Linked DNA regions of Pelodiscus sinensis. The protein of the gene in region 2 purifies or fractionates together with the protein of the main gene of each other region. This does not show direct contact. Links are inferred from orthologs where the notes say so. Each region holds a gene or a part of one and is shown on either strand. Other genes may lie near its edges. The genes, in order: PKMYT1, CCNA2, CKS2 and ANAPC4.

The links.
Region 1: the proteins of CCNA2 (region 2) and PKMYT1 purify together in Homo sapiens (affinity purification with mass spectrometry; 3 studies listed by BioGRID and IntAct, counting the BioPlex papers as one, with this or other methods). This does not show direct contact. The link is inferred for Pelodiscus sinensis from reciprocal best matches to the Homo sapiens genes CCNA2 and PKMYT1.
Region 3: the proteins of CCNA2 (region 2) and CKS2 purify together in Homo sapiens (affinity purification with mass spectrometry; 3 studies listed by BioGRID and IntAct, counting the BioPlex papers as one, with this or other methods). This does not show direct contact. The link is inferred for Pelodiscus sinensis from reciprocal best matches to the Homo sapiens genes CCNA2 and CKS2.
Region 4: the proteins of CCNA2 (region 2) and ANAPC4 purify together in Homo sapiens (affinity purification with western blotting; 3 studies listed by BioGRID). This does not show direct contact. The link is inferred for Pelodiscus sinensis from reciprocal best matches to the Homo sapiens genes CCNA2 and ANAPC4.

The regions. Positions count from the first base shown.
Region 1 is NC_134714.1:134,508,836-134,516,073, reverse strand, and holds the start of PKMYT1 (membrane-associated tyrosine- and threonine-specific cdc2-inhibitory kinase), read right to left. Parts: upstream 3,019-7,238; 5' UTR 2,889-3,018; exon of another isoform or gene 2,831-2,888; intron 1,837-2,830; 5' UTR 1,813-1,836; coding exon 1,438-1,812; intron 678-1,437; coding exon 187-677; intron 1-186. Other genes in the region: GREP1 (glycine-rich extracellular protein 1), read right to left, coding at 4,171-4,196, 4,605-4,658, 4,849-4,914, 5,036-5,101, 5,222-5,278, 6,057-6,122, 6,295-6,354, 6,440-6,499 and 1 more. UniProt on the Homo sapiens protein: Acts as a negative regulator of entry into mitosis (G2 to M transition) by phosphorylation of the CDK1 kinase specifically when CDK1 is complexed to cyclins. Mediates phosphorylation of CDK1 predominantly on 'Thr-14'. Also involved in Golgi fragmentation.
Region 2 is NC_134715.1:37,072,347-37,079,277, forward strand, and holds the start of CCNA2 (cyclin-A2), read right to left. Parts: upstream 3,010-6,931; 5' UTR 2,872-3,009; coding exon 2,731-2,871; intron 2,153-2,730; coding exon 1,900-2,152; intron 1-1,899. UniProt on the Homo sapiens protein: Cyclin which controls both the G1/S and the G2/M transition phases of the cell cycle. Functions through the formation of specific serine/threonine protein kinase holoenzyme complexes with the cyclin-dependent protein kinases CDK1 or CDK2.
Region 3 is NC_134716.1:47,243,345-47,251,254, reverse strand, and holds the start of CKS2 (cyclin-dependent kinases regulatory subunit 2), read right to left. Parts: upstream 3,016-7,910; 5' UTR 2,891-3,015; coding exon 2,832-2,890; intron 305-2,831; coding exon 177-304; intron 1-176. UniProt on the Homo sapiens protein: Binds to the catalytic subunit of the cyclin dependent kinases and is essential for their biological function.
Region 4 is NC_134715.1:101,835,255-101,842,818, forward strand, and holds the start of ANAPC4 (anaphase-promoting complex subunit 4), read right to left. Parts: upstream 3,006-7,564; 5' UTR 2,863-3,005; coding exon 2,755-2,862; intron 1-2,754. Other genes in the region: rRNA N(6)-adenosine-methyltransferase ZCCHC4, read right to left, coding at 6,011-6,137. UniProt on the Homo sapiens protein: Component of the anaphase promoting complex/cyclosome (APC/C), a cell cycle-regulated E3 ubiquitin ligase that controls progression through mitosis and the G1 phase of the cell cycle.

The DNA.
Region 1 (7,238 bases), on a different chromosome or scaffold from region 2:
GGGTCCTCTGCTCTCTGGCACATCTGGGTGCCTGGCCTTGGAGCACATGGGGTGAGGGGATGGTAGTGGTCAAGGAAGGGGGTGCGTGGAGTGGAGGCCAGAAGATGGGTCTAGTAGTGGACAGAAGGATTGGGCTGGGAGTCAGACAGGACATCTGGGTTCTATCCCTGACTCTAGAGGCCCCACCTGAAGACATCAGCTGCCTCACTGTACTCCCCCCGCAGCAGCTCAGGTGCCATGTAGCGTGGGTCACCCTCCTGGGCATCACTCAGGTCTCCACGGTCCAACTCCAGCACCAGGCCAAAGTCGCCCAGTTTGCAGACGTGGCGCTCGGTGAGGAAGACATTGGCTGGCTTTATGTCCATGTGCAGTAGCCTGCAGGCATGCAGATGGCGCAGCGCCTGCAGCAGGTCCCAGAGGCAGGCCCGCACCTGGCCCTCAGGCAGCGGTCCATGTCCCTCACAATGCTGCAGCAGGCTGGCCGGGCATAGTTCCGTCTGGATGTACAGTTGGCCCCGCTCCTCCCAGGCCCGCACAAAGCTCACGCAGTTGGGATGGCGCCCCACTTGTTCATGCTTCCGCACCTCGGCCAGCTTGCGCTGTCGGTCGCCGGCTCCCCGGAATGGCTCCACTGAGCGCTTCACTGCGTACAGTCGCCCATCTTCCTTGCTGCGCACCTGTGAGGGAAGGTCAGCCATGGGGGACACAGATTCCCCCCAACAGATTACTTCCTTTCCCCACAAAATAACTCCATGCTCACCCTCCATGCTGCAAACCTGGGGGAGTCTGAATCAGCCACCAGGGGAACAGGCTCAGGATGAGTCATGCTCACCCCCCAGCTGGGATTAAGGATGTTAAAATGTGGAAAATCAGCTAACAGGTAGTGGATGGAATTTCCATTGACTACTTGATTAGTCAATTGGAGGGGGGACGGGGGGGGGGGAACGCTGCCCCCACTGTAGCTCTGCAGCAGGGTTAGCTCCCTGGGGCGGCATGAGCCAGGAGTAAGTAGTCCTTGCTTGTGCAATCCCGGGAGCTAAACCTGCTGTGGCTCTACCTTTTAAATGTCGTAAGAGCTGCCAGGCCCTTACTACATTTAAAAAGCAGAGGCGTAGCGTCTGGGACCAGGTGCAAGCCGGGACAGGTGATGCCTGGCTCGAGTCTGGTCCCCTGTGGTGCCTCTCCTTTCCCTGCGCTCTGCCTCAGCTTTCAAGGGGGCTCTTCCCTCCACTGGTTCCTTCTCCCCCAGCCCTTGCTGCCTAGGATAAAGGCAGCCGGCGGGAGGGGAAGCAACCAGTGGACAACTCGGCTAGTCGCTTATGTCCCTAGATGGGATCCCCTTAATTTCTGCATCTCTTAGCTAGAATTCCTCATCCCAGATGCCCCCAATTCCCACATCCCGTCCCCTGCTGGGATCTGCCACCTTAGCCCTCTTACCTTATACACCTCCCCAAAGGAGCCGCGCCCCAGCCGGCCCAGCAGCTGGAAGCACTGACTGAAGAAGGGCTCTCTGCGGGCAGGGTTGTAAAGGCGGCTATGTGGGGCCAGCGCCCGATCCTGGGAGCTGCGAAAGGAGACGCTGCGCGGCCGAGGTTGGCTCCAGGGCTGCGGTTGGCGGCTGGCAAAGACCCGGCTGACAGTGAGAGTGCCCTTGTGGCGTGGCCGGGGCGGGAGGGTGTAGCTGAGTGGCCGACCCGGCTTCTTCACTGAAAAGCTGCGCTCGGCCTCCCGGAAGAAGGCCGGCACGGGCACGGGCAGGGGCGTGCGGCTCAGCTGGGATTCGGTGCCCGCGTAGTCCAGGGGCAGCGGCATGGCTGGCTCTGCCAGGGGGAGACACTGCAGGGAGAAGAGGACAGCAGCTGGGGAGAGCACCAGGGGCTGGTTGGTGGCTGTGTCTCAAGGTCAGCACCCATTGGCATGGGCGAGGGGTGTGGGGAGGGCAGGATAGGCTCTGCAGGCCAGTCCCTTGGTATAAAAACAGGGTGGGGGACGCCCCGCACGGTCCCTGCCTTGGGCAAAGTGGGGGGCCCTGGCGGGCTGGGTACAGCGCGGGGAGGGGTTCAGCCAGGAAGACACAGGGGGCCAGCTTGGGGGAAAGGGGCTGGTGACAGGGGGGGTCAGTGATGGGGGCTAGCAGGGGGGCCAGTGGGGCAACCTGACACAGCAGGGGGCTCAGTGAAGGGGGGACCTAGCAGGGTGGGGGGGACTCAGTAATGGGGGGAACCCAGTGACGGAGGGGCTCTGCCAGCGGGGGGGGGGGGGTAAGTGACGGGGGGGGCAGCCCAGTGACGGGGGGGCTCTGACAGCGGGGGGGGGGGGTAAGTGACGGGGGGGGGCAGCCCAGTGACGGGGGGGCTCTGACAGCGGGGGGGGGTAAGTGACGGGGGGGGCAGCCCAGTGACGGGGGGGCTCTGACAGCAGGGGGGGGGTAAGTGACGGGGGGGGGCAGCCCAGTGACGGGGGGGCTCTGACAGCGGGGGGGTCAGTGACGGGGGGGCTCTGACAGCGGGGGGGGGTCAGTGACGGGGGGGCTCTGACAGCGGGGGGGGTCAGTGACGGGGGGGGTCGCCCAGTAGCGGGGGGGCTCTGACAGCGGGGGGGGGTCAGTGACGGGGGGGGGTCGCCCAGTAGCGGGGGGGCTCTGACAGCGGGGGGGGTCAGTGACGGGGGGGGTCGCCCAGTAGTGGGGGGGCTCTGACAGCGGGGGGGCCAGTGACGGGGGGGCCCAGTGACGGGGGGGCGGGTTTCTGACAGAGACGCAGTTGGGGGCGCTCGGCGTGGGCCCCCCAGCGCGAGAGAGCCCCCGGGGGGCGGGGCCAAGGGGCCTCACCTCCTCCCCGGTCCCCGCGGGGGGAGGGGGGAGCGCCGCGCTCGCTGGCCGCAAGTACCCGGATGTGGCGGGCTCCCCGCGCGCGCCCCGAGCCGGCCCAACCGCCGCTCCGTTTGGCGCCAAAACCGTCCGGCGCGGCGCGAGCCGCCAACCGTCCTCCCCCGCCTCACCACGTTAGCCAATCAGCGGCGGCGGCCCGGGGTGGCCCCGCCTCCCGCGCGCGTTCACCCCGCCCACCGCAGCCCGGCTCCGAGGGGCGGGGGGGGGAGCGCGGCCGAGACACGTTCCCGCCCACAATGCACCGCGGCAACCAAAGTGTGGCCAAGCTCCCCCCAACCCAGCCCCTTGCAGTAGCAGCCCCCCACCCCCCCTCAGGGCAGCCCCCTCCACTGCCACCCCCCTCTTCAGGGACAGCCCCCCCCAGGGATAGCGATTCCCTTCCCCCGCCTCACCCACATTCACCACCCTCGCCCCCACTCCTGTGGGGAGAACTCCCCAGAGCACGACCCCCAGGTGCCCCATGTCCAGGCCCCCCCCCCCCCCCGGCAAGCCAATGGGGGGGGGGAGTGAGGAGACAAGCTGCTTCGTCAGGTTGCATGGGGGGAGGGGCTGACCAATCACGGTTGGGTGTGGGGTGGGAATCCCTCCACTATGTCAGCTCCCCCAGAGAAAATCACCCCCCATCTCTCCTTGCCCGGGGCAAACAGGACTAGCCCCGCTTGCCTGGACGGCCCCCTGCCCATCCTTCCACAGAGACTCAGCTTTACTTTTTCTTAATGACGATTCTAGCACTATGATGGCGAAGAAAAGCTTCACAACGTGCCTGGAGAAGAGCCAGCCTCTGCCGGAGTGTGCGGAGAGCAAACGCCAATTGCCGTGGGAGGTGTGAACGACAGTGGAACTGGGACAGCGCGCAGGCGTACAGAGATCTCGAGACTTCAGCTTTGTGCGGGATCTTTATTGCAAGCGCTCCCACATCCCACTCTCTAGCTACAAACACATATTCTCTGCCTAGCCAGTAAAAGGGAGTTAACAACCGAGTCACCCCGCTCCGACCTTCCCGGTATTCCTGTACAGGCCTACCCTTAAAACCCCTCTCTCCTCGCTGGCCAAGCCCAAGAGGAAGGGAGGTCAGAAGGGTTGCAGCCTCACTTTCCAAACACATTACATTTACCAGTCACTGTTTGTTTTTCTGTTAAAAAGACAGATCTGTAGCCATTAAAAATAAAGAGAAAGAGACGATAATTTATCTCAGGAGAAATTCTTTGCTTTTTCAGCACCAGAAGCGGTAGGCTTCTGCCATCCTGTGGTGCGAAGTTCCCCAAGTGAAGGTCGGGGACTCAGCACTTCCCGGGAGGGCAGCGACCTGGCATAAAGAGAAGCATGAGGTCAGAGCTTCAAGAGAGCAGCACATCTTCAAGGGTGAGTGGAGACTAGTGCATCCACCCACACATGTGGGGATAGAGAGCTATTCCTTCCCAGAGCCCCTGCCTTCTCTTTCTCTAGATAACAGGGCATTGATTCTATATGGGATATACCATCATCCGTCTTACCTGGGCTGCGTTCCTCCTTACCCAAATACTGTACTCTTCCTGAAGTTCACCCTGCTGTGACATTTGCAGCCACTGCCCATGTCAAGCCCTTAGCCAAACTGCAGAGATTTGGCTCCTTTAGCTTGTGTCCTCCCCCAAGATAATCCCCTCCAAGAGTCATAGCTCTTCCCTGTTTCCAAGATTCACCCCCCACCAACACACATGCCTTCCCCAATTCTTACCTCTGTATCCATTCCCCAGAAAGCCGTTCAGCCCATACTTGGCCTCCTTGCTTCCTAGAAGCGGGTGGGAGCAGATGAGAATTGGTCACTGGCCATCCCCGTCTGCTACCCAAAGGAGAATGACTCTCTCTGGACAGCAGGGGAAGGCACAGGACACGCATGCAAGAGCAGTTTTGGTTGCATCACAAGACAATAGGATAAAATGTTGCGTCTCTCCCCCACTCCCCCCCACACACACTCCTACCATATGCTGCTGGGGAGAGTCCATAGCCTCCAGGAGCCTGCCCTGCTGTGAGTGGCCCGTATCCCCCTGCAACAGCGACAAGAGTTATCAGGAGGGGTGGAGTGGAGTGGGGCAGGAGCAATGGCTGTGGGGGGAGCTCCCAGCTCCCTCAGTCCCAGAAGCAAATGGTGCAGGGTGGGGATCTTACCAGCAGCCAGTCCGTTAGCCTGCAGATCCCCTCCGTTTGCATGTCCCAGTCCATTCCCGTTGCCTGCTGGGGGAGGGGGCAGGAAATTAGCACAGGAAGGGGCTTTGAGCCCCTGGGGATGAGTATACATGTGTCCAGAGGCAAGGGGGGACCCATGTGACTGGACAGCCCCTCACCATCTCTTACCATCCAGGGAACTGGGCCCAGCCTGTTGTGCCCTGTACATTAGTTGCCCTGCACCACCTGGAGGAGGAAACATGGTAGTGTTGGTGAGTGGAGATCTCAGCACAGGGACAGGAGATTGCACTGCCTACGGGCAGGGCGGGACGGTATGCTGGGAACCAAGGGAGCTGTCACTGCGGGAGGCTCCAGGATCTACTGGTAGATCCCAATCTACTGGTTGGTGACCACTGGTTTAGGCAAAGCAGGGTTGGCAAGGGGCATCCCAGCCCCCCGCCCACATCCCTGCACAGGGTGGGGGTGGGACGAAGATACTGGGCGGCATGGCACAGATTGCTGTGCACCGAGGCATGTGTGGATGTGCACTACCAATAGAAACACATGTAGGCGGCTGTGGGCACTCTGCCAGTCAGCTGGGCAGCATTTCAATGTTTTCTAGGAGGCCACCCAAGAGCACAGCTTACTGGGGACACTGCTGCTGCACCTGAAATAAATCTTCTGGGGGGGGGTGTCTGCCCTTCACACTTCCCTCTATAGCAACTCTATGGACAAGTTCACCCACCGTAGGAGCCCAGAGCCCTTACTCACACCTACCTCATTTCCCAGCACCATAGTCTCCCCCCAGACCAATGGGCATGGTCTCTTGGAACTGCCCATGGTCTGGGAGCTGGCCCAGGCCTACAGCATGGACAGGGTGTCAGGATGGGGGGCACACTCCTTTGCCCCTCCCTCAGCCAGCCAGTCCCCCGTACTGGGTTTGGATTGGAGCACAAGGCCCTGTGTCCCGTTTCCTACTTCCCAGAGCTAAGCAATTCCTGGCTCTGCGGTCAGAAGGACTCACCATATTTAGCAGCTGAGAGATCTGTGCTAAGGCTGGCAAAATGCCCTAAGTAGGTAGCCTGGGCACCTGGGGATGGAATAGATTAAGGCAGTTAGCTTGGCTTGTGCACCTCTGTTCCAACCCACAGCCCTGGATTCCCCCCACAGCTCGGCCAGAACCCCTCATTCCTGCCCTGCAGCCCCCTGCCAGCCCAGCCCTGCCCCGCCCCTCGCTCTCCTCCCTCTGTCACTGGGCACACCGTTGCCATATCCTGACTGGAGTCCGGCCCCAGGGTGACTGTTCCCTCCTGCACCGTAGCCTAGAAGAGAGATGGGAGATCAGACAGGCTCAGCCTGGATGTGGAGGGGGGGCGGGAAGTGAGGTACAATTTGTGGTCCTCTTACCATTCCTGTATCCTGGCTGTGCCCCATTGGCCAGGTATCCACCGCCTACTCCAGCGATTCCTACAGAGCAAAGAGAATCCAGATTGGGGTGCACTGCTCCAGCCCTGGCCTCTCCCAGTAAGGGGTGCTGTGGGGGGTGCCGTGGGGAGCAGGGTAAAAGTGCTAGCAGCGGGGGGGGGGAGCCCCTTCTACTCCAGCTCTGGCTCTCTCAGCAGGGGGTGCTGTGCTTAGCTCATGCCCCTTACCTTGTTGAGCTGTGGGGTAGCTGCCAACTCTGGGTCCTGCCCCATAACCTGTGGGGGGGAGATCCCAGAATGAGACCAACCTAGAGCACAGAAGAATCTGGCTTCTGCACTGTGGGCTCTGGCACTGGAGGCTGGAAGCATCGGGGCGGGGGGTGGAGAGGGAGGGGGCTAGCAGTGAGGGGGATGGTTAGCAGGGGGCTGTGGGTTTTGGAGGCAAGGATAGATAAATCTCTTTCAAACCCTTCAGGCTGCTCGGCAGGTGAGCTCCTCTCTGCCCAGGGAGGGGAGGGGGCATGGCAGTTGGGCTCACCTCAGGGTGCCAGTGGTGTGAGCAGTAGGGATCTCTAGACAGAAGGAGAAGAAACAGCTGGCGGGAGCGGGGGAAGAGGACAGCCTGCGGGGCACGTGAAGGGTGGAGACACTGGGGCAAAGGACAGAGATGGGGCCTGCACGGGGTATTACCAGCACTGGGGCCTTTGCCACCCCCCAAGGCCTGTGGGAGAGGAAACGCAGAGGCGTCAGCGTGCGTGGGAGGGGTGTAGTGCAGGGCGGGC
Region 2 (6,931 bases):
TGGCCCCACAGACTCCAGCCCCGACTGGGGCTGTGCTCCCCTGCCACCAGCCATGACTGGGGCTGCATCACCTACCCCCCCCCCCACACACTCCTCTCACACCAGCCTCAACCAAGGCCATGTTTCCCATCACACCAGCCCCCGGTGGTGCTGCATTCCCCACATCACCAGCCTCAGTGCAGTTATGCTCCTTGCCACCAGCCCTGGCCAGGGCTGTGCTTCCCACCATGCCAGCCCTGCTGGGGATGTACTCCTCACTGCCAGCCAGGGCTCTAATCCAACGAAATCCATGGTCCATCACTGCCAGATCAGAGAGTCCTGGATTTTAGAGGTTCCAACTGTACTTTCCTTTACGCGAACCCCCTCACACCTGCACATCCCTTTGTAGTAGAGGGCCATCCCAATGAATTCAAACATTTAGATGCCCTTACTTTCAGATTAATTTTGCAGTCCCCAGTTCTTGTCTCCATGTCTAATGGAGACAGCTAATGCAGGCAGATACCAGCCTGTCAGCCAGATCCAGTCCCCCAAAGGCAAACCCTGGTGGACTCTCGCTGTTACATTTACCTGCGCCTCCACAGCTCTATTGGCCAGGAACAGTGATCTGCAGCCAACGAGAGCGGCAGGCGCCAGTACCTGTGGAGGCGCAGGTAAATATGGTGGCAGCAGCCCACCATAGGCTAACCATGGCAAATGGCCATTGTTTTATTGCCCCCTCCCTGAGCCAGAGCCACCATTATTATCAGTAGTCTATGAAAAGTTCGTTAGGATTTTGAGGTTTTTCTTGTGTTTGATAAGACTTGTAACTTTCAGTCCTAACTACATATACATATATATACACACACATATACATAAAAACCTCAAGAAATGAGCTGGTAGCACTTTATAGGCTAACCAGACATGTAGATGGTATCATGAGCTTTCGTGGGCACAGAACTCCAGTCATCTGAAGAAGTAGGCTGTGCCCACGAAAGCTCACGATAACATCTACATGTTTGGTTATTCTATAAAATGCTACCAGATTATTTCTTGGTTTCCCCCCCTCCCTGTATAGACTAACTCAGCTACCCCCTGAAGCTTCTGTACATTTATATAGTACCCAGTTAAATTAGTCTTGTATGGAGGAAGCCAGTACAAGCTTCACCTCCCCAAATGGGAATTCTCTGGTCCAGCAATGGACCATGTATATTCCTGGATCAGAGAATCCAAGTAGCAGGAGGGCAATTTAGGAAGGGCTGGGCTGAAGCAGCTGGATGGGGCAAAGGGTGCAGCCCACAGCACTGGGACAAGGTCAGGGCAGCCCCCAGCAGCTCAGGACCAGGCTAGCAACATCCTGTGGCAGGGCAGTAGCAATGTCAGAGCCCGTAGACTGCTGTGGGGCAGGTGCCCAAGCCTTCAGCAGCCCACTGGACTAGGGCTAGCAGCAGTGGGGCTGGAACCCTGGGCAGCCTGCAGAAGTGGGGCCAGAGCCTGCGTGTTGCCATGGAACTGGGACTTGAGCCCAAGCCCTTAGCAGCCTCAGCAGGGCCAGAGCCAACCTCCAGCAGCCCACAGTAGCATGGGACTGGAGCCTGTGGAAGCCTACAGCAGTACAGGCTCCTGGGCCCAGCAGGTAGTCTTCTTGCCAGGGCGGCAACAGCAGCAGGGCCAGTAACCCAACTGGCAGTCCAGCCAAGGCTGGAGGTAGTAAGGGCCCTTCCCGGAGCTGGCAGAGTCAGCAGCTCAGGGCTGTGGCAGGGAACCTTCTCTGGTCCAGCAAATTCCTTGGTTTGGGACTAGTCAGGTCTTAGGGTGCTGGATCAGGAAGGACCCAACTGCACAAGAATCCAGTACTGAATTGAGCATGCCAATTTCGAAGACAGAATCTCTCTTATTACACCATTTTCTGTAAATACTTACCAAAACTAAGATCCATTGGATTTTCTATGGGTGCCAAGGGTTTTCTGTCTCCTAGTGAGGTTACAGCTGTAGCTAAGCCTAGGACTTCTTCATGGGATACTGCCTTTTTAGGAACCGCTTGCTTCTTTTTACGCTCTCCATCAGGCTCATCCACATGGATGGTAAAAGCAGGCTGTTTGCTACCTGCTTTCCCAGCTGGAACCTTGCCACAGTTTTCATCAGTAATACTCCAGGGTGCTTGAGCAGCAGCAGTCTAGGACAAGAGTTGGCCATTAGTGTTTCCCGGGAGCCCTCCCCTTCCTCCCAGCAAGGCTGGGGAGCCCCAAGTAACAGCAGCACAAATCGCGCCAGGTTTCCAGCGCAGCCCAACGCCCCGCGGTTTGTATCGCGATTTAGGGCTGTCGACAGAGGCCCCGCGGCGCTGCTCAGAGCCGGTCAGGTCGGGCCTGAGCAAGCCGCCTGCCTGCCAGCGAGGAGCCGCCAGCGCGCGCGCGGAGGGGAGGCCCGCGCTCCGCGGGGGGGGGGGGGAGGGGGGGGTCGTAGCCTTGCAGGGGCCGCGCAGCTCCCGGCAACGCGGGTGCATCGCTCTCTAGGCTGCCCCCCCCCCCCCCGCCCGGCTGCTGACAGCTCGCGGCTCCGCGGGGCGCCGCGCAGGGAAGCGCGGGCCTAAGATGGCGGGCGCCAGGCTGCTGTTCCCAGCGGGGGGACCCCGAAACAGGAGCCCCGGCCCCGCAGGGGGCAGAGCCCCGGTGCAAACCCCCCCAAAGACGCGGGCACGGCCGCCAGCCGAGCCCCGGAGCTGCCCCGCCCCGCGGCACCACCCCGCCTTGCCTGCGGCTGGGCCGGGCGGCGCTGGTTGCCCCGCAGCAGCGCCAGCACCGGGCGGCCCCCGGGGGGAGCGGCGGGCAGCCGCGCTTTGCCGCCGGGGGGCACATTCTCCTGGTTCTCCTGCTCCGCGGCGCCCGTCTGCATCGTCCCCGGGGCGCGGCAGCCGCGTGCACGAAGGGGGGCTCGGCGGGCACCCGGCTCCGCGGCCGCTCCCTGGAGGCAGAGGGGACTCGCGCTGCCGGCGGCTCCGCCAGCCCGCTCCGCTGCCACCGTTCAAGTAGCCCGCCGCGACTATTGAATCCGCCAATGGGGAGCCCAGGGCGCGCACGTCACGCCGCCGACGGCACGCCGCAGGGCCCAAACGGGCCGCGCTGGGGGCGGGGCGGGGGAAGAGAAAGAACGCCCGGGGCGGGGGAGTGGTGACGTCACTGCCCTAGGAGCGCTGCGGCCCCGATCCCGCACCGCTCGGCACGTGGTCGCGGGGGGGAAAGGAGGGTTGGGGGCGTTCGGTGCAGATTCACGCCCGTGGGCTCGCATTACACTTTTAACTCTCCTGCCCGGCGCGGGGCCTGATCCGAGCCCCGTTTGGAGGCCATGAAGATTCGTACTCGACTTCAATGGCCTTTGGCTCCTCCAGGGTCCCAGACTCAGGGGTAGTTTTAAATATAAAAAACATGCGAGCTAGACTCTGCCCCAGCGTGAACCAGCCCCCCATTCGCTGTTTGTTGCCTATCACTAGGAATTGTTTGCCGCCTCTCTTTTTGCTAGCAGGTGTGCTGGAATAATTTGTATGGGGGGGGGGGGGGTGCTGAGAACCATTGAACCTAACTTAAAATCCCTAATCTACTGAGAATCACTTTCCCCTCCCATGCCCCTGATTCCAGTTCTACATAAGGAAGGACCCAAGAGCTGGTTGGGAGTTGGCTTTCTAGAAAAAGAATTCCTTTTTGCCCCTGTATAGGTAAGTGATCTTTTATTTCAAATGTCTCAGAAGGGTAGCTATGTTAGTCTGTAACTTTTAAAACACTTAGGCTACGTCTGGACTGGCCCCTTCTCCGGAAGAGGCATGCAAAGCAGGCAAGTCAGAATAGGGAAATCCGCAGGGGATTTAAATATCCCCCGCGGGATTTAAATAAACATGGCTGCCGCTTTTTTCCCGGCTTGGGGAAAAGCTGGAAAAGAGAGTCTAGACTGGCGCAATCCTCCGGAATAAAGCCCTTTTCCGGAGGATCTCTTCTTCCTACTTCCAGAGCTAGAGCGGCTACATTGCCATGTGCTTTTGTGCAAGAGCATCCATGCCAACGTAGATGCTCTCTTGCAGCAAGAAAGCGCTGATGGCCATTTTAACCATAGGGCTTTCTTGTGCAAGAAATTCATGTTGCCTGTCTACACTGGCCTCTTACACAAGAACAGTTGCGGAAGAGGGCTTATTCCTGAGCGGGAGCATCAGAGTTCTTGCGCAAGAAGCACTAATTTCATACATTAGAACATCAGTGTTCTTGCACAAGAACTCACAGCCAGTGTAGACAGGCAGCAAGTTTTTGCGCAAAAGCGACTGCTTTTGTGCAAGATCGCACCAATGTAGACACACCGCCGGTCTCTAGGGGCCACAGAACTACTAACAAAAATATATATAGTATCGTGAACTTTAATGGGCAAAACCCAGTTCAGATGAGTTTGCTGAAGAAGTAGGTTTTGCCCATGAAAGCTTATGACACTATAAATATTTGTTACTCTCTAAGGTGCCGCAGGACTACTCCTTGCTTTTATTTCAGGTTACAGGCAGTCCCCGGGTTACTACAAGATAGGGACTGTAGGTTTGTTCTTAAGTTGAATCTGTATGTAAGTCGGAACTGGCGTCCGCCTGCTGAAACTGATCAGTTTCAACCGCAGCTGAATCTGGACGCCAGTTCTGACTTACATACAGATTCAACTTAAGAATCCCAGGCGTCCCCAAGTCAGCTGCTGCTGAAACTGATCAGCGGCTGATTCCAGGAAGCCTGGGGCAGAGCAACTCTGCCTGGGGCTTCCTGTAGTCAGCCGCTGGTCAGTTTCAGCAGCGGCTGACTTGGGGACGCCTGGGGCAGAGCAGCTGGGGTGCTGCTGGGTTGCTCCAGTAGCGCGGCTCCTCGGCATTACTGGAGCAACCCAGCAGCACCCCAGCTGCTCTGCCCGAGGCGTCCTGATTCAGCCGCTGCTGAAACTGACCAAACCGGCAGCCCCCAGCTGCTCAACCCCAGGGGTAGGCAAGAAAAGCCTGGTCTGCTGGGGGGGGGGCACTAGCTGCACCCCACCCCAGCAGACCAGGGAGACGGGGGTGGCGGGACCGCCCAAGTCCTCCACGGCTTTGCTCCGTCTCCCTGGTCTGCTGACCTGGGAGACGCGGAGCAAAGCCGCAGAGCACGCGGGCAGCGGGACAGTCCAGGCGTGCCCGGGCTGTCCCACTGCGGGCGTGCTCCGCAGGTTTGCTCCCCTTCTCCCTGGTCTGCTGGTCAGACCAGGGAGACGGGGAGCAAAGCCACGGAGCACGCCCGCAGTGGGACAGCCCAAGCGCGCCCGGGCGTGCTCCGCGGCTTTGCTCCTGTACCCCTGGTCTGCTGGGGGGGTCCAGCAAAGCTGCTGGACCCTCCCAGCAGACCAGGGAGACCGGGAGAAGCTTTTCTCGCCCCGGAGGACACGGGTGGCGACCTGCCGCCCGTGAGCTCCGGGGCGAGAAAAGCCCCGTTCGTAAGTGCGGATCCGACATAAGTCGGATCCGCGTAAGTTGGGGACTGCCTGTACTGATTCATTTAATGTTATTATTACTACTCATATTTTATCATCTTTATAGACAGTTTTCATGCTATTAAATGGCACAAAATGGTTGATGATGCTGTATGTGAAATCTTTCTTATTATAAGGGCACCATTTATAGTGCTTATTTCTCAATAATCATTTACTTTGCTCTAACAACATAAATTAGAAGTGATTCTTGTAAAAGTTCTTAGTATTACAAAACCACCTACATATACAGACCTTTACTTATAGAGTGAATTTTGAAGTGTGTGGTAAATGCTAGGAGATTTGTAGTGGAATTTAAAATCACAGATTTCATTTTTATGGCTTGAGACATTTTCTGGGCTGTAATATTTTAAAACACAGATGATATAAATAAACTAATTAAAAGATTGGCCTATTACTACAGTTAATGTAGTGCTTGTGTTAAAAATACTGGACTTATAGTACACAAGACTGAAATCTGTTTTTTCTTCAACGCTAGCACAGCAATGGCACTAGAAGTGTAAGTTTCCCTATTCTATCACATTAATGTAACCATCCATTTCTGGAGATATCACTCGTGGGTGTCAAAAAATAATTAGGTATGTCCCATCCCTCTACGCTACTGACACTGACATAGATACCAATTGTGATAATATTCTCTGACAACAGCTATCAACTAAACATTGAACACAAACCATCGCAACTCATTTCACCAACTTAAGAGACTTCAGGATCACACCTTTATAGGGAACATGGAATCACTGTCCCCATTCCCACTTACTAGTTGGTTTTTGTATTTTGAGGAGGGAAAGCAGGAAATAGTTACTTTGAGTTAACTCATTTTTATTTGTATTTAATAAAAAATGATTTTCTATTGCCTGGTAGATCAAAAGCCAATTGATCTAAACAGACAAAAATACTGTTAAGATTTAAATTAACTGCTCTTGGTTTTTTTGTCCAAGGAAAATACTGCTTATATAACATTGAAAATGGGGGGCAGTTTCTATGACTAAGATGGTGAAAAAATTTCTAGCTATGGAAGTAAAAAAATAAGACTTTTGAGGTTTATCTGTTTCACTTAATAATTAAATGTGCTTATGCCTTTGAGTATTTAACCATGATCCCATACGACATTTAAAGTAACATTTATTAATTAGATGTTCAGGATATTCATACATATCATTTTGCTTTCTTTCCTCCCAAGGAGCTTTTGGATGATTTTACACTAATTTTTTCTGTGGTAATATATTTTATGTGAATATTCCATTTTCATTGTAATTTTGATATTGAAACTGTAAAAATGTTATAAAATGATATTATTGCTGTTATTTTGGTAAACAATAGAAGAAAATAGCTGTAAAAGATAAATAAAAGGCATGGAATCAAAACACACTCATTTTACATTGCGAGCAAGTTTTAGTTACTTGAAGATGAGAAATTAATA
Region 3 (7,910 bases), on a different chromosome or scaffold from region 2:
CAAACTAGACATGGGATGCCCATGACTCCAATGCTTCTCTGCTGCTGCTGCTGCTAGTTTCCCCAAAGTTGCAACAAGGCAGTTATCAGTTTTTTGGGTGTCCTTTTAATTCCAAGGATTACCTGTTCAGTCAGTTAAAAATGACTGTTTCATTGCTATGATAGCATTCTACCTACCTGGCTCATGGATCATGTAATGGACCCAGCCCAGACTTTGTTGGACACCAAGTCTTCTCCACTCCTCTTCAGACATTAGATGAGTTTTTGGTACTTGCTTTGAAAGTTCTCTGGGTAACATCACGTGTCTGTTGAAAACATTATTACTAAAAATGTTAACAGTTTCTTTGATAACACCTGTATTTGTAGGCCATAACCTTTACTGCCTTTCCTACAGCAATGTCTTGAGCAGGGTTCAAAGTCTGCCAGACACCAAAAAAACTTCCCGACAAGATCAGGCAACTCATGATTCTGACCACCAGTGGGAAGCCCATTACACTTTTCCCAAGACACTGTTACCCCTCCCAATTTATTTCTGTGACAGCTGCTGGAAGGAAGTCTACCTGTTCTCAACTTTCCTGGGAGTTTTATTCACTATCCTAATAGGAAGGGCTTGACAAACCGCTGATTCTACTCACCCGTGACAAGTAGATTTCAGCCAGTTGCTCCGTGCGCCCCATTCACCGGCGCTGTGCATACGCATGTGTGGTGTGGGGCTGGCAAGTAGCTCTCGCCACGGTTTGTCAAGCCCTCCTAATAGGGATGTAAAATTTTGATATTTGGCTAATAAAACAGTCGATGCCATTTGTATTGATTAGTCAATAAGGATGCTTTGGCCTTTTAAGTGTAGCAGGGCTGTTGCTACACTTAAAAGGCAAAAGCGCTTCAGGGAGCATGGTGCCTGGGATCAATGGGGAGTCCCCAGTTGGCCCTGGGCTGCATGCAGTATTTCAAATCAGCAATCCGGGGTCTGGCCCCAGGTAGTACTGCTGCCTTGAAGCACCCCTTCCCTCTGCTGCTTTTCTGACAAGAGGCAGCAAGGTAGGGAAAGCAACTAGTCAATTAGCTTGTCGATAGTCAACAAGTTGTTCACATCCCTATATCCTAGAAAACATATAAACTGTTTTAGCTCATGTAGATGTGCTAAATTCATTTGATGTGCTAAATCTTGAAATCCAAGAACCAGTAGAGTAGATGTTAAACCTTCAGCTATGTAAGGGAAGATGTAATCATGCACCCTCACCTGAAATAGGAGCTAGTCTACTACAGTGTTTCTCAACCAGTGGTACAAATACCCTCAGGGGTACTCAAGAGAAGGCGGAGGGGAGGGGAGAACACAATTGAAATTTGGAGAAAACTGAATTTGTGTTAAGATTTACAGCGCTTTATTATTTTTGTAGTTTTTACACCCAAACATTTCCATCACCCACCCGGTTACGATTAAGCCATTTAAACAAATGTGTTGCAATGGTAGAAAATTTTGTATGTCTGAAAACTGTAGATACTGGAGGGTACCTATAATTTTTAAAGGGGGTACTTCATAAAAAAAAGTTGAGAAATACTGGTCTAGTGCATAGTTATTAAAGCACTGCGCCCCTGGCAATTATTGCCACACTGTTTAAGAAACTAAAGGAAACTTCTGTATACCTAACCAGATAAGTAGTTTTAGGAAACACAAAACAGCCATGACTCCTGATTTATCACTGCCAAGTCAACTGCTGACCAAAAGGAATATGACCTTTGCCCTTGAATACTAATCTATTTGTACATGTAAATGAAACCTATCTTGGGGAGATAAAATTTAAAAAGTCACAAAACTAAGACATAGGACATTTCATAGGGCACTTAACGGTGTTTACATATTCCTCTCACAGTCCAAGTTGCATTCTGTCTCTCTATTTACAAGTTGGTCTCACAGCATTGTTTCAGCCTTGAACAAACAAAAAAAAAAAAAAAACACACAAGGGGCCTTGGGCTCTCTGTTCTTAACCGGCATATAGAGGTTACCTATATGTAACAGAAGTAGTTACCCTATCATGGCATATTTACTACCAAGATGCAGGTTGTTGTGGGTCTTAATTCACATCAGTGTTAAATTGCCAAGACTCTCCTGCATTGTAAAGCAGCTACACAGGAAAAGGTTGTGCCCACCTCAGGCCACGTGGCCTCAACGATCTTGTGTTAAGGGATTAGGGCAGCAACTACCACAGTCGGAGCTTCTGAAGCAGTGAAAGCCATCAGGTTATAAGGGAGCCAGAGGCGCCTCCCTGACGTTGCCGACAGGGAGTTGCCATTGTTGTCACCCCAGAGACTAGGATCATTTACAAGCAGCAAAACACAGTCGAAACTGCCAACGGCGCAACACGCATGTCTGCTCCGAGTAGGAGAGGGACCTGCGAGGGCGCAGCAACGGCTGCTAAGAGTTCCCTAGTGACTTTCAAGGACTTTTCCCGCGATCTCACTAGCTCAGCTCTGGCGATGCGCGCCTCCTTAGCCGCAGACACAGCGCGACTGGCGCCAAACAAGGCCCGCGAGCCCTTTTAGGGTCCGCCCAGCCCGACCGCCCCAGGCTCCCCTCGCTGTGTCCCCGACCCCTGCGGGGAGCCACTGCAACGGCCGCCCCCTCCTTTTCCAGGGCGGACTCGACGGCGGCTGTGCCAGAGGCAGATGGAGAAAGCCTGAAAGCCCCCACGCGCCCTCCCATAGCCAGAAAGGGAGCAGCAGGGCAAAGCATTTGCGCGCCCTGCGCTTCCTTACCGAAACCCCTACGCGCGGCCCCCCAAGCACAGACAGGGGGTGAAGGGACCAGAGAGGACCGGCCCCGGCCCTACGCACCGATACTCGTAGTGCTCGTCGAAGTATTTGTCGGAGTAGTAGATCTGCTTGTGGGCCATGGCGAAGGCAGCAGCTACAGCGGCAAGACGCAGCTCCGGTTCCTCAGCCTGAGGCAGCGCCCGCTGATTAATAACCGACCCGGTCGGCTTTCCACTCAATTTGAATCCAACAAATCAACGTTTATTGGCGGGTGGAGCCAGCCAATCACTGAACGCGCCTGTCCCATAAGTCAGACGATTACGTCACCCGCGCTCTACCAACCAATTAGAGGCTTTCGGAGCCAAGGTACGAGTGGGACGTTTAAAGGCGGGGTGGCTGCGCGCGCGCGTCCGGTAAAGGTTGGGGGGGGGGGGGTCGGTTTGGGCGCGCGCGTTCAGCCTTCCTGCGCTTCTCTCCAGACACGCGCTTGCCTCGTGAGCTGCAGTGGGCGGTTACAGTTACAGTTGCCGGCGGTTGGGGAATGGGTCGAGTTCGCAGATTTTGCTGTGCTGCGTGTGCAGCTGAGCTCTGCCCCTCCCGGCCTAGCGGCCCGTCCTGCTGATGCGCGTTCGCACCCCTCCCTCCCCTGCAATGGCACCCGCACACTGCAGCGTCCCGTTCAGACAGGCTCAGGCGTAACGCTTCTACGTCTCGCCCCTTGCAGATCCCGCCCCGCAGACCCGAGGCTGGAACCTGGGACTCGGGGTTGGAGCCTGAGTCCGGCCGGGAATAAAGGGTCAAACCCTGGTGTGGGGGGTGGGGGGGGGGGCACTGAGGACCTAGTGTCAACGGATTTATGCCGTGGGAATACTCGCAAGGGCTGGTTGGCTTTGTCCACTGGACAGGCGGGTTTTCACCACCCTAGTATGCGATAGGGTTGGGAGTGTGTTGTTGTGCGCACAATGAACGGATACACCTGGGCGTATCAGGTTTCCTGCAGAGCCGCCTCCCACCCCTCTGCCTCCCGCAGAGGCAGTAGCTAGGGGGACAAGTAGGAGCCAGTCCTTAAGGGGGGAGTCCACTTAAAAGCTGGCTCTCTGCCAGCTTCCACAGAGCCACCTCTCCCTTTCACCTGTGCTGCTGCCTTTCTGTCAGAGTCAGCATTGGAGGGGCAGAGACTGTTTGTTGTCTGGGAGGTGGGCGGGCATTAGCCCCCCACTTCTAAAGGACCTCCCCCCAGCCTACAGGGAGGGTCCACAGAGCCCAGAAAACCAGCTGATCACATTGGACAAATAATGAGAAAACAGGGACCGGTGTGAGGGCCAAAGGGATACAACGAGGGAACTGGATGGGGATACTGAGCAGAGAACCCTGGACAGCGCCCACTTGTACCTGGAAGGTCTCTAGTGAGCCAGCAGACGCCACCCACTGGAACTCTGCCTGGATACGTGAGCGGATACTGGAATGGAAATAAGCCCCATAGTCACAGGCCCCTCAGCCAGCCAACCTCTGTTCCCTGGTTTTATGGGTTGCCAATTTGGCAATAGCCAGGAGAAGGTTGATTAGGAGGTCCTGTGACTTTGTGGGGCCACAGGTGGGGTGTGCATAAATTAACAGGTGGGGGGGAAAGTGCAGCCAGAACCTCAACATACAAGAAGCCAAAAAAGGGGCTGTAACCTGGTACACTTGAGATAGATCTGTGCCAGGGTCTCCCTTACGTCACAAAAGGGGCAAGTGTTAGGAATGGGGGTGAACCGTGCCAAGTACACGCCCATGCTCACCGCACTGTGCAGGATTTTCCAGCTGATGTACCCAGTGGTCTGTGGAACCAAGATCGAATAGAGGCTAGCCCATCAGGCTCCCTACCCTCTATTGGTTGTCCTATTTGAAATTGTGGGAAGGTGGGCGGGCTTTGCCCCTCCCCAGCCTTTCGGGAGGGACAGCTGGACCCACGTTCAACTAATTCCGGGGGACAAATAATGACAAAAGGGGCAAGGAGTGTGGGTCACAGGTTTAAAATAAGGGAACCAAAAGGGGACACCGAGCAGAGAACCCCGGACAGCGCCCACTGCTCCTCAAAGCTGTCGATGGAGCCAGTGGACGCCGCCCAGAGGAACTCTCCCCGGATACGTGAAGCTAGGGAGGAACGGAAATAGGCCCCACAGTCGCAGAGAACCCCCCCGTCCAACATCCTACTCCTGGTGTTGTAAATAGCGGCTTTCGCTAGAGCCAGGAGTAGGTTGACGAGGAGGTCTCGCGACTTTGTGGGGCCACGGATAGGGTGTGCATAGATGAAGAGGTGAGGGGAAAAGTGCAGCCAGAACCTCAGTAGGAGGTTCTGGAGGAGCCGGAATAGGGGCTGCAACCTGGCGCATTCAAGATATGCGTGCGCCAGGTTTTCCCTCACGCCGCAGAAGGGGCAAGCTTCCGGGATGGGGGTGAACCGCGCCAAGTACGCGCCCGTGCTCACCGCACTGTGCAGGATTTTCCAGCTGATGTACACAGTGGTCCGTGGAACCAAGATCGAATAGAGGCTAGCCCATCAGGCTCCCTACCCTCTATTGGTTGTAGGAGGTCCCGGCATGTGGTGTTTGGGCGGGACACAAGAATGGGGAAGTGGAGCGTGTGAAGCACGAGCGTGTACAGGTGACCCTGGCGCAGTTTGGAAGGGGACCGGCTGCAATGCGAGCAGTTGGTTTGGGTGATGAGGGGGAGGCGGTCGGGAAGATATGTGGGACTGGGAGCCAATGGAGAGATTGGGAGGGCTGGGGGTAAGGGGTGGGTGGGGCGCACCCTCTGGCAGGACCCTGTTTGGGTACACCCAAGCAGTGGATGGCAAAGTGTCCTTCACCTCCTGAAGTACACGCTGAGGAGTATGTAAGGTGGAGAGCCCCATGCACTGGGCGAGCACCCTAGGATCCACCCAGTCTCCCTGGTCATAGTCTAGGAGGTCTCCGACTCTGGCAACTTCTGCCAGAACCAACCTCTGGCACACCAAGGGGTACTCCACCACCTATACACATAGGCTGTGTCTACACTGGCAAGTTATTCCGGAAAATCAGCCGCTTTTCCGGAAAAACTTGCCAGCTGTCTACACTGGCCGCTTGAATTTCTGGAAAAGCACTGACGATCTAATGTAAAATCATCAGTGCTTTTCTGGAAAAACTATGCTGCTCCCATTCGGGCAAAAGTCTTTTTCCGGAAAACTGTTCCAGAAAAGGGCCAGTGTAGACAGCACAGTAGTGTTTGCCGCAAAAAAGCCCCAGTTGCGAAAATGACGATTGGGGCTTTTTTGCGGAAAAGCGCGTCTAGATTGGCCACAGACACTTTTCTGGAAAAAGTGCTTTTCCGGAAAAGCGTCCTGCCAATCTAGACGCCCTTTTCCGAAAATGCTTTTAACGGAAAACTTTTCCGTTAAAAGCATTTCCGGAAAATCATGCCAGTGTAGACGTAGCTATAGATGGGGATTGCGTAGCAGAGTCTCCGCAAGGAGGTCTGCCCCCATGGTGGCTCCCAAGGACCTGGTCAACACAAGCAGCTTCTAGACCCGGAGGAAGTCCTGGTGGAAGGCCGATAGCACAGAGAGGTCTTGCGAAGACCTCTCAAATAAAGGAGCTGCTGGTCATATCGAAGCTCTTGGAAGCGGCGAAGGAAAGCGTGCACCAGCGTGCTCCATGCCAGACTACCTGCATCGAATAAGAGTCTCTGCAGGGCCCGGAGGCGGAGGACATGAACCCGCGTGTGCAAACACATCAGGCCCTGCCCTCCCTCCCTCCTCCAGGGGGAGATGGAGAACCCCTGCAGAGACCCAGTGCAGTCCTGGCCAGAAGAACCACAGCATCAGCTGCTGGATATGAGCCAGGAAGCCCCGGGGGCGGGACCAGGGTGTTGAGACAGTTTGGAGGGGCAGGGAGGAGGGCAGGCGGGAGCTGATACGCCCAGGGAATTGTCTTTTAAGTCTGCTCCCTCCTCTCCCCCGCCTCCCACCTCTGTATCCTGCTAGTAGCTGTCTGCCCCCTCCCTGCATGTAAGAGTGTAACCAGTGAAAAATTCAACAGTTACACATTTACCAAAAAAAACATATTTGCTAACATCCCTACTATGCGATGAGGAAAGGGCTAGCGTGGCACATTTTGGAAGGGCACTAGAAAGTGCGATGTGGATTTCTTGACCATACCCCTTCACACAAGGCTTGAGAAAAATGTGACCATATGTATCTGAGTTTCTATGGGCAGTGCCATAACTAGGTATTTTTGTGCCTGGGAGAAAATATTAATTCTGCGCCCCTTCTGCTTAGGTTATTAGACATCACACTCTTTACTTTTGCAGCTTATTTTTACTTTTGCATCTTTGAGCCTCTGATTATGATGTGCCTGCTGCAAGCACCCCATTTGCCCTGCCCTTGTTACGGCCCTGCCTATGGGTCACTCGCAGCTGTAATTCTTTACTCCACACACTGATTAGATCAAAAAGCTCTGAGGTGCTCCAAGCAAGAGAGCGTCTTGAGCAATAGCCATCCCATTTCCCAAGAGAATGCCACGAGGTCCACTACCCAATGGGCCAGATAGCAGGAAATTGATTCTAAAGTTCCCTAGAGTTTGCAGGTGTGAGGAGCTCATTTTTGTTTATCTGTTTAGGTGGCAGTAGAGCAGTGGAGTTCAAAGTGCTGGCCAGACTGGCTAATTCGGCATTGCTGGGTATATCCTGGAATTCAATAAAACCCCTACTGTAGTACATGCTACATGATTGTCCACAGTAAGGAAAGGGGAGAGAGAAAAGTCCGTCACAAAGACTGAAGATTTTTGTTGCCAAAATTTTCCATTTTTTGCAACTTGTGTTGCAATATGAATACTTTCCGGGTTTTGTCACCAAAAAAGGTTTTTTGGTGACAAAACTTGCCAGTACAGACAAGCCCTGGTATTACCTATGCTAGCTGGATTCAGGCTGGCTTGTGTAGGCTAGTCTGTGTATAGCTTTTGCCATATATTTTTGCTGTTGCTGCACTTCAATTTTAGAAGCATAGACAAAGCTCCTGACTTCACCAGCAGGCAACAATTAACCACAGTATTTGTTTTCTGTTAGCTTGGCTACTGGGTATCATAATTAATGACTAAGACACTAATTAATGCACACTGTATTAAGGCTGATTTTCTAGCTTTT
Region 4 (7,564 bases), about 65 Mb from region 2:
GCAGCAATTATTGCTTTTTTGCTCTTTCCTCCCAATGATCTGAACATGAAAAATGTCAAGATGAATACAGAATCTTGTGGTGACAGGCTAAACATTTAAACAATCTCCCTTTTCCAGAACACATCTGAAGAATATCAGAATTGTGCGAGAACACAACACAGGAAGAAAATCAATACTGACAATTAAAAGCAAACAATTTTTAAAGCACTTTAGGAAAATAGGATGCTCCCCAAAGTCATCAAAGACTGAAAACGATACTCAGATACAGCAGCAAAGTATCTGTGTTAGTCTGTAACTTTCAAAACAATGAACAGTCCTGTGTCACCTTAGACTAACCAATATATCATGAGCTTTTATGTCCAGGGAGGTTAATATGTTCCCCTACAGGATTATGTGTGCTACCATTCCCGGATTTATGTCCATTAATCTGTTGTGGCAGAGACTGTCTGCTTTGGCCAATATACATGGCAAAGAGGCATTGATGGCACTTGATGTCATATATTATATTAGACGATGTGCAATTGTATGAGCCCCTGATGTTGTGGCTTACGTGGTTAGGTCCTGCGATGGTGTCACTTGTATCCCTATGTGCACAAAGGTGGCAACGGGGTTTGTTGCAGGTGTAGGTTCCTAGGTGAGTGTATCTGTGATGAGGAGTATGGCGGTTGGTATTTACTTAAGGTTGGGAGGGGGACTGTCTTATCACCTATATCACCCCCAGGTAAGGATCAGCCTACCTCCCAAGATCTGTGAGGGGTCATTTTCCAGTACAGATTAAAGATTATCAATGAAATGCTGGGGCGTGCTAAGCTAGGGGATATAGATGATGTCCAGTGGTGGTGTTATTTTCTTTGTTGGGCCTGTCTTGAAGAAGGTGGCTTCCGGGTACTAGTCTGGCTCTATCAACGTTTCCTCACTTCTCAAGGTGGGTATTTAAATTTTCAAAATGCTTCATAAATATCTTGTAGGTGTTTGTCTGTGGGATTGGAGCAGATCTGATTGTATCTAAGGGTACGTCTAGACTACATGCCTCTGGCGACAGAGGCATGTAGATTAGGGTACCGGACATAGTAAAATGAAGCGGCGATTATTTAAATCGCCGCTTCATTTTACTATGTCCGGTACCCTAATCTACATGCCTCTGTCGCCAGAGGCATGTAGTCTAGATGTACCCTTAGGGCTTGGCTGCAGATAACAGATTGTGTGATGTGTCCTGGATGGAAGCTAGAAGAATGTAGGTAAGAATAGCAGTCAGTAGGTTTCCAGTATAGGGTGGTGTTTATGTGAACATCATTTATTTGTATTGTAGTGTAAAGAAAGTGGATCTCTTGTGTAGGCTGGTCCAGGCTGAAGTTGATAGTGGGGTGGAAATTATTGAAATCCCTGTGGAATTCGTCAAAGGTCTCCTTCCCAAAGGTCCATATGATGAAAATGTTATCAGTGTAATATAAACAGAGGACAGGTGGCAAGGGATGGGAGCTGAGGAAACATTGTTCTAGGCAGTCATGAAAATGCTGGCATATTGTAGGCCATGCGAGTACCCACAGCAGTGCCACTGACTTGAAGGTATAAACTGTTCCCAAATCAGAAACAGTTGTGGGTGAGGACAAAGTCACATAGCTCAGCCACCAGGTGTATTGTGGCATCATCAGAGTGTTCCTGACAGTTTGTAGTCTGTTCTCGTATGGAATACCAATATAAAGAGTTTCTACACCCATAGTGGCCAGGATAGTGTTTTCAGGAAGATTACCGATGTTCTGTAGTTTCTTCAGGAAGTCAGTGGTGTCTCAAAGATAGATAGGAGTGCTGGTAGCATGCAGCGTGAGGAAAGAGTCAATGTAGCCAGATTATCCTGTTTAAGGGTGCTATTGCATGAGATGATGAAACATCCAGGATTTCCAGATTTATGGATCTTGAGGAATAGACAGAATACTGACTATGAATGGGACAGATCCAGCCTGACTCAATTACCGTTATTAACACTGCTTTTCCTGTTTATATACTCTGGATTCTGTCATTTCCACTCCAACTCATCTGAAGTGGGATCTACCCACAAAAGCTCATGATATATTTGCTAGTCTTTAGGGTGACACAGGTCTGCTCACTGTTTAAAATACAGCATGTTCTAGCACAGTGCCAGATTCTTCACAGCACTATCCCACTAAATTCTGCCTTTGCAACACACTAAGCAGCTACAACAAACCAAGGTCTTTCCTGCACAGATGCAGACAGCATGAAAGAACAGAATTCTCGGCTAACTTAGCTGTACAGCACTGGGAATGCCAACACGGTAAACCCAAGATACTAAGTCATTCTCATGTGAAGGCTTAAAAAACCCTCACACATGCTATGGTGCACTATTCCTGTGGCTGAAGATGGCGTGTAGAATAAGGAGGCCCGTTTGGCTGTCAATAATGACAAGGGAGGGTGGAGAGAGCCCAGTGCTAGCCTCCCCCAGTGCTAGCCTCCCCACAGCACTGCCCAGCTGGCCGGAGTTCTTTCCCCGGGAGCCGCAGGGAGAGCGCTGCTGCAGGGGCAGGGAGAGCGAAGCCGCCTCTGGCGAACCCTGAGGCACTACTGGAGGAGGGAGCAGGCAGCAGGGCTGCGGGCGAAGAGGGGCGGTCAGCCAGGGAACCCCGCTCCCCCAGCGGCGGAGCGCAGCAGCGCTGTCGGAGGAGGTGCCTTTCTTACACGCCGTTTCCAGCTCGCTGAGCCGGGCCCTGCAGCTGCCCCGTTACCCCGGCCCCGTCTTACCTCCCCCACTTTGTTGGCAAGGGCGATGAGGTCCCTCTTGGGAGACCAGGCCATGAAGATGATTTCCTGGGGAAGCTGCTTCTCCCCGACCTGCCGGAAAGCGGGCATGGCGGGGGGCTCCTGCACCGGCAGGCTCGGGCCGGGCTCCTTCCCTCACCTCCCCGTCCCCCTTAAGCCCTTCCCACGTCGCGCCCCATCCCGCTGCCCGCTCCGCGCCCGGAGCCCACAGCCCGTCCAGCCGCACGCAGCACAGCGACAGCCCCGCGAGAAGCGGCTCCGCCCGGCTCTCCCGCCTTCCGGGGCGGCCCCCGCCTCGTCACTGCGCCGCCGCCGCGCCCCGCAGCTCACGTGTGGCGGGAAACACAAGGGACTGCCCCGCGGAATTCCCTCTGCGGCCCAACGCGTGCAGCAGGGAGATGCTGCAGCTCCACAGCGCTGCCCCTCGGGGTCCCGGTACACCGGCCCCAGCCTTCCCGGGCGCGGCGAGGGGCGGTTACTAATGAGGGTGAGTTGAGGTGCCTGGGTAGTTGTTCGAAAATCCCTCTGTACCTTTAAGGGGGAAAGGGAAAGGTAGCTGGGAGTCAGCTCTGACAGTGAAGCCCATGCATGCTTATGGGTCTTTTGGAGCTCCAGGTCCAGAAAGTCTGCAGCTGCATAGTTGCCGGACCAGCTTGGAAGACTGAGGCTACCCTGCCTGCAGGGAGGTGGAAGGTAGAGGGCCTGGAGGCAATAGCCTGGGGCAGCAGTGGGGGAGGGGAGGAAGGGTGGTGAGGAGTCTGGGAGCACTAGCCAAATTGAGGCCTTATACTTGACAGGGAAATTCAAGCCGCCCGTGTAGACAGCTGACACGTTTTTCCGCAAAAGCAGATGATTTTGCAGAAAGACTTGCCCATCTAGACACAGCCAGTGTGTTTCTCACGTCAAGCCTATTCCAATGTCTGGTCTCGGTAGCAGTCATTCCAGAGAAATGTGTTTCACAGAAGTATGAAGATGGAAATGGCAGCAAAGCCTTGAGGGCTAGGGTGCTGAGTTCTGGGTATTTATCCTTTGTTTTAATCCAGAAGGATGGAAGATGAAGATGAATTAATTAAACTTTTAAGTCCTCTGTCACATGCCAGCTCAATCAACTAATTGATCCTTTTGCAGCAATGGCAAGGATGACACCTTGTTGGCAGGAAGAAATGGACTATGGATCCATTCTTTCCCAACCCTCAGATCTTTTGAATTTGGGAAATATTGCTCAAATGCATCAGAGTGTGACCGCAGGTGCTCGCTTAGGGTATGTCTACACTGCCACCCTAGTTCAAACTAGGGTGGCTAATGGAGGCATTCAAACTTGCAAATGAAGCCCGGGATTTAAATATCCCAGGCTTCATTTGCACATTCCTGGGTGCCGCCATGTTTAAATGCCCCATAGTTTGAACTACCTGCCCACGGGTACATGCGGCACAGACTAGGTAGCTCGAATTAAAGCTCGAACCTTTCCCACCTTGCGGGGGGGTGGGAAAAGTGAGTAGCTGACTACTTGCTTACATCTCTATCGTCTACACAATTAACGAATAAGCCTAGGTTTGTCAGTTAATTCTATCAACTACACACATTCCCCCCCACTGTCTCTGAGACAGAGGCAGCAAAGGTGTGGGGACACAAGAGCTGGTTTTTAAGCCATCTCCCTATGGGCACTGGATCCCATGGAGCAGCTGGCCTCCTCCCTGCACTGCTGCCTCTGATAGAGAGGCACAGCATAGGGTGTGTGGGGTAGGGGAGAAGGTGGGAACCACTGCACATGGGAAGCTGGCTTTTAAGTGAGCTCTGTGGTGCTGCCTGTCCCCCTTTCCTCCTGCCTCTGTGAGGGAGCAGGGGGGGAGGCGGCACTCAGGGAGGAGCTGGTCCACCTGCCCCCAAAGGCAGCAGCGCAGAGGAGTGGTGGACCCAGGCTCACCGTGGGCAGAGCATGCTGCTGTGGAGCAGCCTCTGTCCATGGCAGACCTAAACTCACTGCAGACAGAGGCTGCTCTGTGGAATGCCGGCGCAGCCTCTGTCCACAGGGAACTTGGGGCCCCCATGGACAGGGGCTGCTGCTGTCACTATCAGAGGCAGCAGCACAGGGTGGCAAGCAGAAGCTGGTTTTTAATTGGCTGTCCTTGTGGACTGGCTCCTGCCTGCCACCAGATGCAGCATTGAAGGGTGACAGGGGTCTCCCCGGAAGTGGGTCTAGGAGCACACTGGCTCTTGGCGCCACTGCCGGGGACTACTGAATAACCGTGTAGCTGATAATATTTGGTGTATCTAATATCCCTACTAGGTAGAGAACAATTACTTGAATGGAACCAATATAGTTATAGAAAGTTTAATTCCATTGCATTGCTCATTTCCTTTGAATTTTCTATATTCATGTTTACCGCAGCATCAAAAATAATTTATATGCGTTTCTTTGAACTGCAGACTGCTCCTCACTAGTAAATGAAATTATACAGTTAAGTTTAATTATTAAAAAAATCCCATACTTGACACATAACAAGGGGCACTTGTCTAGGAATTATTTTGGAGAAGTTGGATGGCCAGTAATAGTGAGGTCAAACAAAATGATTGCAATGGTCCCTTCTGACCTTAAATCTATAAACTGTCCAGTTTACCACTGATATGCTAAAAATACTGGATAGTTGGAGGGGAACAGCCTCTGCATTTTTGTTGTCTCTGCATTGTATAATGTCTCAACTGTGGATAAAAGTTTAAAAACTACATGTATCTAGTTATCTAGAAGAAATAATACACGGGTTTCCATTACTGCCACGAAACAACCAACATACCAGTAGATAAAGAACAAAAGGCTGACTTGCCATCCATTACATGGGCATGGTAGATGGTGTTTGGAAAGCAAAAGAGCCAGGTGGAAATGCAGGTCAATATCAAGGAGAAAAATGCAGGTCAATATCAAGTTAATTAAAAGCTATTAAAAACCTTGTCCCAATAATTTACAAGTCCTGTACAATATTATTCCATTTTGTCTTTTAGTGCAGTCATGGTTTAGACTAGTATATAAGCTGTTTTAGATATCACACTTGAACATATTCACAAATGGAAAGAGCAGCTTGGATAGCAGTTTTCTCCTACTGCCAAAGTTCTGAGGTAATATTACAAGAAGCAGACATTTTTAATTCAAACCGGCTTTATCTAAAATATCATATTAACATTTACAGCAAATGGAAGCAAAAATTGGCTGTAAAATCATTCACAGTTTTAGGTAACTTGAGTATTAACAAGCAAGAGTGTTTTTCTTTTTCTTTATTTTTTTCCGTGGGAACGTAGCATGCTTCACAGATGGTCTTTTAACATTATCCATTTTTATCTTGTTCTTCTTTAGCCTCCGCTTTCTGTCAGCTCTGGAAAACAAGGGAATAGACAAACATATTACATGTTATCAGAGCTATAGTGAATTGTACATTGTAGTAAACACAAATACAAGGACTTGTCTATGACTAAAATCTCAAATATAGTCAGAACAACAGCTCTTAAAGTAAATTTCTTTGGGTATGTCTACACTACCCCGCTAGTTCGAACTAGCGGGGTAATGTAGGCATACCGCACTTGCTAATGAAGCCTGGGATTTGAATTTCCCGGGCTTCATTAGCATAAGCGGGGAGCCGCCATTTTTAAATCCCCGCTGCTTCGAACCCCATGTAGCGCGGCTACACGGGGCTCGAACTAGGTAGTTCGGACTAGGGTCCTATGCCGAACTACCGTTACTCCTCGTGAAACGAGGTGTACCGGTAGTTCGGAATAGGCACCCTAGTCCAAACTACCTAGTTCGAGCCCCGTGTAGCCGCGCTGCACGGGGTTCGAAGCAGCGGGGATTTAAAAATGGCGGCTCCCCGCTTATGCTAATGAAGCCCGGGAAATTCAAATCCCGGGCTTCATTAGCAAGTGCAGTATGCATACATTACCCTCCTAGTTCGAACTAGGAGGGTAGTGTAGACATACCCTTTGAAATTCGACTTGCAAGATTGTAATATTATCTCTGCAGAGATATTACAATCTACTTTTACTTCAACATTGACATGGGGTTAAATTTATTTTACACCTATAGATGTATCTTTACTCAGTATTGTAATTTTAGACTCAAATGCTTTTAAAACTTTTAAAAGTATACATCTGATCACCTCAAATATAAAACATGGTGATTGTTGACATTACATGTTCAACAATTGCACTGCCCAATTTACTATTGAAGAAATTGTACAAACATAAGAATCTGTATGGAACACAGGATTTAAAACCTAAATAATTAACAAGTATTTTTTTCCATCTGTTATGGTAATGCTATCTATGTAATAGGTTATCAATTAATAACTATAGAGTCTTGTACTAACCACAACATACATTTGCAGGTGTTTAAGCCCATGTTAATCCAATAATTTATATCAGGAGAAACATATTGACAATACAGTAGTAAACTACGGTCTGCATGAACTACAATAGTCCAGAAAGATATATATATTTGATCTCACCAAAACTGGAAGCAAACAAAGTTTCATGTAAAAGTAAGGTCAGTCATTTTCATGCAGATTTTACTACTTTGAGAAATATGGTAGGGATAAATATGAATAAAGCTCTCTCTACATTTTGGCTATGTATTACTCCACAATTAAAATTTTTGGAAAACAGAAATGGTGGGCTATGCCTAGCAGCGATACAGGTTGGACATCCTTGGTCCAGCACTCTCGGGACCTGACTAGTCCCAGATGAAGGATTTTGCAGGACCAGGGGAGGCCATTTCTGGCTCCCTTGCTGTCGACCCTATGCCTTGCCA